Linked DNA regions of Coturnix japonica. The protein of the gene in region 1 interacts with the protein of each later gene in a pairwise test. Links are inferred from orthologs where the notes say so. Each region holds a gene or a part of one and is shown in the gene's direction. Other genes may lie near its edges.

Region 1 (5,416 bases):
CCCCCAGCTATAATTATTCCTTCTGAATACTGCCTGTAACCCCAAACAGAATGTGAAGAGCAGGGGTTGCTGATGTTGCTGAACTTTTCCATCTAGATAAATCTCTTTCTTTTTCACCGTTTAGCATCTTACCTGTGGCATAATTTATCCCTTGAGTTAAGAAGTGTCATTTATTTTGATCATTTTTATTCCACAGTGCGCAGTGACTATTAGGCATACAGGTATCCGATATTAGCAATAGCTTATTCCATTACTTTGTATTGTCATCTTCATTTGTTACAAGATATTTCATGAGCCATTTAATTCTGCATTTGCAAATGTGGAAAGTGCTGAAGTAGATTAAAAAAAAAAAAAAAAAAGATGGAGAGGATTTAATAGCCTAAATCTACCCCAAAAGACTCCTTGGAATGCACCAGAAATACACATTAAAGGAAGTGTTCTCAAAACCAGCTGTGGTATTCACATGAAACTAAAAATGTCCCCACTGACAGCAAAGCCAAGGATGAAGTGCCTCAACACTTTACTCACCATCCAGATTATTTTGGTCAACTTGTAGAAATTGATGCACGTGGAGATCTGATAGCATTCCTGCCCAGGAATGCTAAGCAAAAAAAGATAATGGTAAAAGAAAAATGAATGAATCTTTCTTTCCTAAGGATACATATCGGGATACATATCCTTGGGAAAAAAAATGGGTTTAAGGATCTCAGATCCATCCCTTGCTTATTGTTTCTTCTTATCAAAGAAGAATTCACCAGAGCTGGTATATCTGAATTATTACTAAGTCTGGTGCACACAAAGCCCAGAACAAACTAGGGGATACATGAAGATACATGGAAATGATCAGCTCACAGAGCTGGGAGTTTTCCAGGACAACACATTCTGTACTTAACCTCCGCTCCCACTTCACAGAATCACAGCATCACAGAATCGTAGGGGCTGGAAGAAACCTCCAGAGATCATCAAGTCCAACCCCCCTGCCAAAGCAGGTTCCCTACACCACGTCACACAAGTAGGTATTCAGGCGGGTCTTGAATATCTCCAGAGAAGGAGACTCCACCACCTCCCTGGGCAGCCTGTTCCAGTGCTCCGTCACCTGCACTATAAAGTTCTTGTGCCCATCCATGTGTAACTTCCTATGCTCCAGTTTCTGGCCGTTTCTCCTTGTCCTGTTTCCACACACTGCTGAAAAGAGTCTGGCCTCGCCGCTTTGCCTCCCACACCTCAGGTATTTATAGACCTGGATCAAGTCCCCTCTCAGTCTTCTTTTCTCAAGGCTAAACAGTTTGCTTAGTCTCTCCTCATAGGGGAGATGCTCCAGGCCCTTCACCATCTTTGTGGCCCTCCGCTGGACTCTTTCCGAGAGATCCCTGTCTTTTTTGTACTGGGGAGCCCAGAACTGGACACAGTCTTCCAGATCATGGTCTGTTTGAGTTTGTGTTTGCCTTACAGGTTGTGTTGCAAAACAGACCCCAAAGCTGTGTGTTTCCCACACAGCAGTAGATGATACATCACAGCACAGGAAGAAGTAGGAACTGCAGGAGGGAGAACAAGTCATTCCTCAGCTCCAGATAGGAACAGGGCTCCTGACCGGGAGCAGCGCTGTCACACAACACCAAGTCTGCTGAGAAATGACTGACAGGAAACGGTAGGAGAGATGGCAGATGAGCTCTGCTCGTGACAATTATTGATAAGCGATACATGTCAAAGTCTCGTATCCTCGGCTTTGTCTGCAGAGCTCCCAGTTGCCCTGGACACAAGGTGACATCTCAGTCACCAAGGCCATCGCCCATCGCTGTGACGCTGTGCCTACAACTCCCAGCTGCCCGCTGCGGCGCACGCGCATCGAGGCGCTCGTCCTTCCCTGTGCCCCCCCCCATCCCGCGGCCTAACTCCGAGTCGGCAGCGGCAAGATGGCGCTCACCAGGTGCGTCCCTCTGTCCCCCCGCTCCGTCCTCGTCGCTGTTGGTGTCTGGGGAAGCGCTGGGTGCTCGGCCCGGCGAGCGGCCCCTCCTGGGTGCGGGCCCACGGTCGCTGAGCAGCCCGGGGTGCGGTGTGCTGAGGGCCGGGCCTGCGGGAGCTGCCTGCGCTGCTCGCTTTGTGCGGCCTAGAGCGCGATGGGGCCTCCGCACCGCTGCGTGCTGCGGGGAGCTAACGCGGGTTTTGTGAGGGGAAGGATTGGTGCTGGTGGGATACCTGGTCGCTTTCCGGCTTTTCCTTCCCGTGAGGGATGTCTTTGTTACGAGCTGCTGCTCCGAGAGCGCGGCTCCGCGGCCTGCCCGGCTGTACCGAGCGGGGACGTGAACGCCGCCCGGCAGCGCGGGGGTGGCGGTGTGCAGTGCGCCGGGTCCGGACGGGGGAGTTGGAGTGTGTGGCTTTAGACCGGGGGTGTCCGGCTGGGGAGAACCACTCACGGGTTCGTCTGTGGGAATTCGCCTTTTTCAGAGCTGTTTTTTTATGTGTCTTTTTGGTGCCTGTCTGGGGACGTGCAGTTTTTTGCCAGCTCCAACCCAGTTGTCCCAAGACCAGCTCGAGCTAGAAGAAAGAGCGAGGGCGCAGAGATCCAGGCAGACTGCTCTGGTCTCATCACGAAGGGAGCCTCCCCCATACGGCTACCGGAAAGGATGGATACCGCGGACGTTAGAGGTAGGTGTTTAAACTCACCATATTATATTAGTACATCTGTGTTAGTGGGTAAAGTGTGTCTTTCCAGAGTAGAGTCAAACTATGAAGTTTCTTGAGATAATCACAGAGAATCGTGCAGGTTTACATGCAGAATTTCCAAGTTTCTTGTCATGGTAACGTGGGAATACGACTGTGGTCCTTTCTGTTTAAGGTCTGAATGTAGTGACCCTCTGAGAATGACACCCATACCAACCCTCTGTCATTATTTGTTAAATACATATCTGGATTAGAGGTGAAATAAGTAGATGGGTGTATAGCAGAGAAGAGAATACTTCTCATGTGTACTGTGTTCTTAAGGTAGCAAAAGGTAACTGCTCTTGGGGGGTGTTAAGTGATAGAAACTTGTTAGATGTGGGAGTGCTAGATAAGGTGACTTAAAGCAGTAGTTCCAGTGGTTCTCTAAAGTAAAATACTTTTATGGAATTTCAGCATTTAATAAAGGATGTGGTATTAAAATTTATAGTTCAGCTTTCTCCTTACAGTGCTCATTACTAAAGCTACTGTTCGAGTGCTTGTTCTAAATGCTGTGGGGGGGGGGGAACCTGACTTAACTTAGTTCTATTGGTTTCCAGTATCACTGGGCCAGAAAATGCAGCACATCTCAAAGACTTCTAGAAGATTCCCTTTTTGCCTCATAGACAAAACCAAAGAATAGTAATTGCTTGCAAGTATAGGCTTCATCTGCTTATCTACTCATAATTGAAAAACAGCATCTATTCTTAATAGATTTGGTCATGTAGAAAAACCTGAGAGATGGCTGAATTTAGTTCTGCATTATATTTCAGCACTGATTCTGTATCTAACTGTTGAACTGGATGCGGGGCATCCAATGGAAGACTTTAAACAACCGAAGTTGAATTTCAGTGTGCACTTGAGGCAAGCATGAATATGTGCTGCTCTGGAAAGAAGTGTTCTGCCCGATGATTCCAGTCTCAGCCCATGCTGTCTGTTGTAGTGGTGTTAACTGTTTGGTCTCATGGTGAATACGTGGGGATCAAGCTACCCAAGTCACCTGGTTTGCTGTTGGGCAAAATCAAAGCCATTGCAGCATGGTGAAAGGGCACAGTAGTGTTGATTAGAGAAAATGCTTCCCCTGGGGTTTTGAAACCATAGCCTGAAATTGGTTTAGCGATTGTGTGCCAGTTCTGTTTGCATCTTCAGTACTGAGTCACAATGGTCTGCTTAAAGAGGTCTTCCATTTATTCTGCTCCTTAAATAGTTTTAAAGCAAGAAATTGAACAAGAGGAAAAGTAAACTGTTAGGAACACGAAGCTATTGGTTGCTTGTCCTGTTTTCAAGTTGTGTCAAAATAAGGAAATCGATATCTTGGCATTTGTACCATTGTAAAGCTGTGAGCTGCAGGCTTGAGAGGGCTGGAAAGCTTTATAAATTTCTTCACCTAATTATGGTAGGATAACTAAAATTACAAGAATAGCAGTTTTGTGATGAAAATCTCTAGTGGTTAATTTTTGTGTATTTCAGCGGTTGCTTTATTGCTGCAGATAAATTCTAGAAGTTGTAATTAATAACCTGCATGTGAATTAAATACTTGATCATTTACCGCCTGTCATGCTGTAGTGCCTGCACATCCAGCCAGTGATAAAAGAAGTTTCTCTGTGAAAGGAATAATTGTAGAGAGTTTCCTGCAGGATGTCTTTGTATTTCCATTTCACAAGTGTAAGCTGTAGTCAGCTGTTCTCTTACAAGCCAGAACAGTAATGCTGCTAGAGCATTTCTAGCAGTGTTTCATGTTAAAATCAGTCCACTCTTTTGTTCCATTTCCACCCATGCAAATGTTATGACCTGGTCTAGTACCTGATCTGGAGGGTGGTGGGCCCTGCCTGTGGGTTGGAACTTGATGATCCGTAGGGTCCCTCCCAACCTAAGCCTTTATACAATTCTGTAGTTATACCATGTTTTTGTCTTTCAGTCATTCTCTACCTTTTTGTGTGTGTGTAGGATTTTGGAGATGGAGGTGCTTTTCCAGAAATTCACGTGGCCCAATATCCATTGGATATGGGCCGAAAGAAGAAAATGTCCAATGCTTTGGCTGTTCAAGTGGATGCAGAAGGAAAAATAAAATACGACGCAATTGCTCGACAAGGACAATCAAAGGACAAGGTAATGCTTTTTTCTAAGACGTGGATTGTGACACACACCTGGAGAAGTCACACGTTGCATGTACTTGTGGTCATTGCTTTGGCATTAGATAAATTAAATGAATTACCTCCTTGAAATATGTTCCTGTTTTCCTTAAAGTTAAGAGCTGAAATGATGTCAGACAGATGTGAGCATTTAGACTAGTAGCATAGGATGAGCAAGAATTTTGTTGCCACGCGTGTGATCCTGTTTTGCAATTAAAAAGATGAGATAGAGATGATGAGAGTCTCTAAGGAAAACGTAATTGATGGCATAACAGCTTTCATTAGAGGGCTTTCCTGTGAAAGCAAGAAGTTGAAAGCGGGCCTGGTCACAGATAATGCTATTTCAATACAGAAAGAAAAGGGGCTAAGAAGTCAGAAAACACAGGTTTAGCTTTCAGAATACTGAAATGCATCTTGTGGTTTCCTACTTTAGTATTTGTGACTCCTTCCTCTTCATCTGTTGTGGTTTTTTTTTAAATAAGTTGCAGTAAAAAGTATTGCTAGTGTTTATATAGTGGAAATCTTTTGTTAAGTTCAGCAATTTCACTGAGTTTAATGGGATTCAACATTCATTCCCCATCTGCAGC
Region 2 (5,644 bases), on another chromosome or scaffold:
TCCTTTCCCACAGGTGAGTTGGGAAGAGATAGAGTAGCTGTTTGGGCTGATGTAGGCACAGACCTACAGGCCTGGTAAAGTAAGAGCTACGCCTCATGGTCATGAGAAGCTGTAGGTGGTTGTGAGGGGTGGTTCAGGCTTGCAGTAAAAGAAGAAAAAGTGAAACATTTTGGGGAAAAAAATCTCCCTTCCTCTCAGGCTTGTTCCATCATGGCAGAATAAGGAAGTAAACTGAGCATCTGGTCCCTGCTACACCTGGCAGATGGTGTGCCAGACATGTCGTTACTTGGACCCTCCATCCATCCCTCCTCTTCAGCTCCCAGCAAAAGTCCAGCACTGATAGGCCTGGGCATCTCAACACTTGGGTCAGGCAGCAGGCAGTGTGTGTGTGCTGTGCTCCCCACACCCAGCCAAGGAATTCTATCAAATCTTGAAAGCTAAGTCGCATTTTTTTCTCCTTATGCTGAGACATCCTAAGAATTCCATTTTGCGATAAGCATCTGTAATTCCTCTGCTTGTTCCCTGCATGCACACATTCCCTCCGGCAGCTTTCTGCCAGCAGTTCACCTGCTTCTCAGCTTATCAGCTGCCAGTGAATATCTGAAGCTTTCAGTCACTTTCAGGTTCTTGTTTTGAAATGTCTTTTGGTTAAGAAAGGTCATCACTGCACCACATATGAACATTGATCCATGTCCCAGAGTATTTTCTTTTTTTGCTAAAGTCATTTTTTTTCATAAATAGAAAATGGGAAGAATTAGGAGATAATGGTAATTTGTTACTAGTCCATACACAAAGCTTGTGGACAGGCTGAATTGTGACCAGCCTTGTATGATTGTCTGTGATCATCACCCACCTCAGGAAACAACCTGAGATGTTATTCCCATTCTTCCCTACCTCCTGCACAGCCTTCCTTCATCGGCATCTTTGCACTGATGGAATTTAGAGACAGTGAACTGATAATGAATATAACTGATAATGAAATAGGCTGTGACCTCTGGCTGCACCCAGAGGAGGCCATGGGCACAGGCCGGGCTGTGCTCATTCAGTCATTACAGATTTTTGTTACGCTACATCATTACCTTGAATGATCACAAGAGCCTCCGCTTTGACAACCTGCTCTTCTTCCTGGGCTGGTCAGAAATAATTTTGTAACAGTGATATTTACAGTTAATGCTGGATGTCTTGAGCAGTTTAGAACAATAGCAAAGAGTGAAACCTACTGCCAAACCTTGGCTTTACTTTTCACTGGTGATGAGGGGAAATAGCCTCAGGTTGCACCAGGAGAGGTTTAGGTTGGATAAGAATGAGTTGTTACAAGCAAATTACAGCTTCTGAGGAAGGACAAAAAGCTGGGTCCTGATTTGAGTCCTGATTTGATTTGAGTCCTGATTTACAGCGTAAAGCCTGAGCACAATGAGGGCTGAGAATATACGAGGCAGAAGAAAAACCCAGTGTTTATTATGAATGTAGAGGGGTGATGTGAGGCCTTCAGCCCCCCGCTCCAGTCGCAGCCCAACAGGGCGCGGCCGCTCCGAGCCCTGCAGAGGCCGCTCTGCTCCGCTCCTCTCTACCCCACCTCCCCACCCCGCGGGCGGTGCATTATGGGTAACGTAGTCCTGCGAGCTGCTCTCCCAGCGGGGTGGCATCACCATCCGGACTACATCTCCCAGCGTGCATCGCGACGCCGGGCCGGCCGTTCCCTTTGAATGATTTCACTGCGGTCGGCGCTCACAAGGCGAGTTTGGCGGCGGTGGCGGCGTCGTGCGAGGGGCGGCTCCGCAGCGCTCACACCGTGGATGGCCGCCACAGGGGGGACCGTGGCCGGGATCGGGCCGAGGCGTTGTTAGTGAGCGGGGTAAGGGGGCCGCTCGATTCGCCTTTCCGGCTGCGGTGCCCCCCAGCACCGCCGACATGTCGCTGGGTATGGAGGAGGAGGAGTACGCCCGGCTGGTGATGGAGTCGGAACCCGAGTGGCTGAGGAATGAGATCAAGAGGCTTTTCCAAGAGCTGGGTGAGACCACACGAGAGAAGATTCAAGCGGCGGAATATGGGTTGGCTGTGCTGGAGGAGAAGCAGCAGCTGAAGCAGCAATACGAGGAGCTGGAGCTGGAGTATGAGACCATCCGTGCCGAGATGGAGCAGCTGAAGGAGGTGAGGACGGCGGGGAGGGACGGGCCTGAGCCCTGAGCTTGGGGCCCTGACAACACGCGTTTTTCTTATACAAAATCATCGCTGCCTCAAGCACAGCCCATGCTGGGGGTGGTTGTGCCTTGTCCGGACCTGCAGGCACCCTCTTAGTGCTCCCTATGGGGGGCCGCTCATTGCCCATATAGCGCATCCCGTGGGACTCACTTGGCTGCTCCTGCTCCGGTTATTTTGGTGACTGTTTCTATGCAGGCAAACCATGCGCTGCTTTTGAGCTGATGTAGGCCTTGCCTTGTTTGCAAAGGATCTGATGCTGCTTAAAATGTAGACGTGTGTGGTTGTATTTGGTCAATGTGATCCATGTGCTGTCGGTCTTTGGTGTTGCTGGTGTGGGTTGGATGTGGATTTGAAGTAACATCAAAATACACTGTGTCAAAGGGAAAGTAAACGCAAATGGATTTGTATCAATTCAGCTGAACCTGTGAACGCCCTCACTTCCTGCATCCTGTGTGTCGGATGGACTCTGTTTAACATCATAAAAGCAAAATAAGCATAAGCAGAGGAGGTGAATTGTTTTGAATTAAATGTTTGTGCTCTTACTAACCAAATGCAGGCTGAACCTCCCTGTTCATTGCAAGGGAGTTGGATTAGATGACCCTTAGAGGTCCCTTCCAACTCAAATGGTTCTGTGGTTCTCTGGTTAATGCTACTTGGAACTGACTTGATTCTGGCAGTGCAAATACTGGAAGGAACAAATGTGTTGGCATCGTGAGCCCTTGGAAGTAGAGTTGCTACACAAAAGATAAGGGAGTCAGAAACAGTCCTGGGAAGAAGGAGCAATAGGGTTTTGCCAAAGGGAGAAGAAAATCAGCAAACCCATTGGTAGGTGGGATGAGACAACATGGGGAAGGTGAGGAGACTGGTGTGACCTCACTGAGCTGGAGCCTGAATGTGGGGCAGTGCCAGGGTGGCTCAGTCACAGGTGACACCTTGGTTGGCTGTGGGCCTCATGAATTTAGTCCTTCAGGTGGGAAATGTCTGGAAGGCAGCTGCTGCTTGTTCTTTTAGAGCTACAACAACATCTCAGAGGCTCGAAGAGATTTGGGAACAACAAAAAAAAAGCAAAAACCAAAAAGAAAAAAGAAAATAGCAGGATGAGCAATGATTCATTCTTTGCTTTGTGTGTGCATGTCCTGTTGTAATTAAGTCAAAACCTGGGAGGCAAACAATTCTGGGAACAATCTGAGGTCTCTATAGTTGTACAACACAAGGCAGAACATTGCTCCTCTTGCTTCCCTGTGATGCTGGGGAGGAATCTGGTCTTCATTAGAACTTGTAAACCTTCGGCAGATGCATGAAGCATGTTGTCACAGGAGGAGTTTATCTTTGCTGTTTATATAACTTCTTGCTTTTCCCAAGCACGTTGGGAGGCATTTTGCATACAGGACTTGCCATATAGCAAGGTGCAGTTTGAAGAGGTTGCACCTTAGGTTACATTGTATTGTTCCTGGGGAAGGCAGGGGAATTGCTGCCAGGAAGAGGGGTGCTTTCTTTTTCTTGCTTCTCAACTTGGACTTCATGCAGCCTTTTTAGAATACAGACATTGCAGTCTCCTTAAATCTTGTTCTGTTCCTCTCCGCTACATCTAGAGACATCAATAGCATAAAGCCATGTCATGCACAGACACACAGCAAAATTTCCTGTCTTGCTTGGTGTTGTAAATTTGGATATACTTTAATTTGTTTAATGTTATGAAGCATCCCATATCGCGGCCCTGTTCATTCCATAGGTAAATGGGCTCTGAGCGTGGGAACTTCCTAATAGAGGCTGTTGAAAGTACAGGCTTTTCTGCTGCAACTGTCAGATCTTGCACAACTTTCCGGCCAGCTTCTCCCTTGTGCTCCTTTATCTGTGATTGTGGCAGAATTTCCTACCTGTAACCCCCACAGTTTTATCCCTTTGATGAGTGTACGTGCCATCCTTAGAGCTGGACCCTGTTTTGCAAACCCACCTGTGTGTACACAATATCTGCCATTCGGATCATCCTGGTGGTAGTGGGGGCTGTCCTGCCATTGCACTGAGGCTCCATCTCATCAAACCCTTCAGTTGGAGTCCTTGGAGAACTGTAGACTTTACCCCAGATTTGTCCTATCTGTTCACATGCTGGTTTGCATCTTGTACCTCTCAGGGTAATTGTGCCACATTTTTTCTGTTGTTTCCATTTGAGACACATAGACTGAAGTAGAAATTGTCTCCCCAGGTGAACCTGCTGGTTATTTCACTTCCATGCTTATTTTTGTGAAATGAAATTGATTTCAAACCTTACTGAACGTTATGGTTTAGAAATGCATTGTTTTTTTATCTCAAGTTACATGAATTAGCTCCTGACTCTCAGTGAAATACTACATCATGTTGTATGTTGATGCTTTCGGTTGTTATTTGTCTCCTCTAGGAGGTGAAGTGATAAAGAGTTGTTTCTATAGGCTGTGTTCAGCTAAGAAATCATCCTGTGAGCCTTTGTCTGTGGGGATGCTAATATAGGGCTGCCAACCTGCCTGAGCCAAGGTTGCTGTACGGGAATTCACTTATTGGCATCCTGATGATTTGTAGGACAACGTGGCTTGGAAGGTTAGCTTGAAAAAGAGCTTGTCTGCTTTGCTTAGTACTTTTGAGTTGCTTTTGAGATGCCAGTTAGATTTACAGCTCACTGTTTGGTTAGATATGAAACTGGCTGCTGTCCAAAGCTACTTTCAAATTAGATGGTTATGCAGTATTGGTGATGGTAGACTTGTATTTAAGTCCCTCAGAATGCAGGGGCATGATTATGTTATGCATTATTTATTTCTGTAATAACGTAAAAGTGTGTAAGTAGACTGTGGCTGTCCTGAGATTCTAAAAGCATGCATCAGTACATCACAGTTAATGCCAAGGCCTTCTTTGTTGTGTATGTTTTAAGGGGATGGGTGGAAAGCTTACAAAGGCAAAGAGCATCAGTACAACTGGGGTCCTACTTTTTTCTCTCATACTACTTGGGCTTCATCAAAATATAGCCTGCCTTTCTTTAGTTTCCTAACACCTTTTTCTGTTGTGTGTGATGACTTGAAGTTGTGCTCTTCAGAAAGCAGCAAATGTAGCTTATATCAAAAGCAGATGCTTGGTAGGAGTGTTATGTAGCTGTCAGAATGTCCAAGTGTACTGTGATAAGCAAGCCAATGCAAAGGTATCATCAGCATTGAATGCTTCAGAAGGGTGTTGCAAACAGTGTTTTGTTCTGTTCTTATGGGGAGGAGAAGACAAAGGAAGCATGTTAACCAAATCATTGGTTAACATAAAATATTCTTTGGAGATGACAAAGGAATGCCTGGAGAGAAAGCAGTGAGCTGTACGTGACTGTTCATTTCTCTGTAGGGTGGCAGTAGCTCTTGTTACTGTTCTTTGCCTTTAAGGATCGTGTATTGACTTTGTTCCATGACACAAACTCTAGGGCTCCTGGATAGGC

What was found. The genes of interacting proteins can lie anywhere in the genome.
Region 2: the proteins of SNW1 (region 1) and BICD2 interact in binary tests that used the Homo sapiens proteins (3 or more experiments, as listed by UniProt). The link is inferred for Coturnix japonica from reciprocal best matches to the Homo sapiens genes SNW1 and BICD2.

Annotation. Positions count from the first base shown.
Region 1 is NC_029520.1:35,702,226-35,707,641, reverse strand, and holds the start of SNW1 (SNW domain-containing protein 1), read left to right. Parts: upstream 1-1,808; 5' UTR 1,809-1,913; coding exon 1,914-1,927; intron 1,928-2,492; coding exon 2,493-2,646; intron 2,647-4,644; coding exon 4,645-4,806; intron 4,807-5,416. UniProt on the Homo sapiens protein: Involved in pre-mRNA splicing as component of the spliceosome. As a component of the minor spliceosome, involved in the splicing of U12-type introns in pre-mRNAs.
Region 2 is NC_029527.1:4,891,605-4,897,248, reverse strand, and holds the start of BICD2 (protein bicaudal D homolog 2), read left to right. Parts: upstream 1-1,911; coding exon 1,912-2,151; intron 2,152-5,644. UniProt on the Homo sapiens protein: Acts as an adapter protein linking the dynein motor complex to various cargos and converts dynein from a non-processive to a highly processive motor in the presence of dynactin.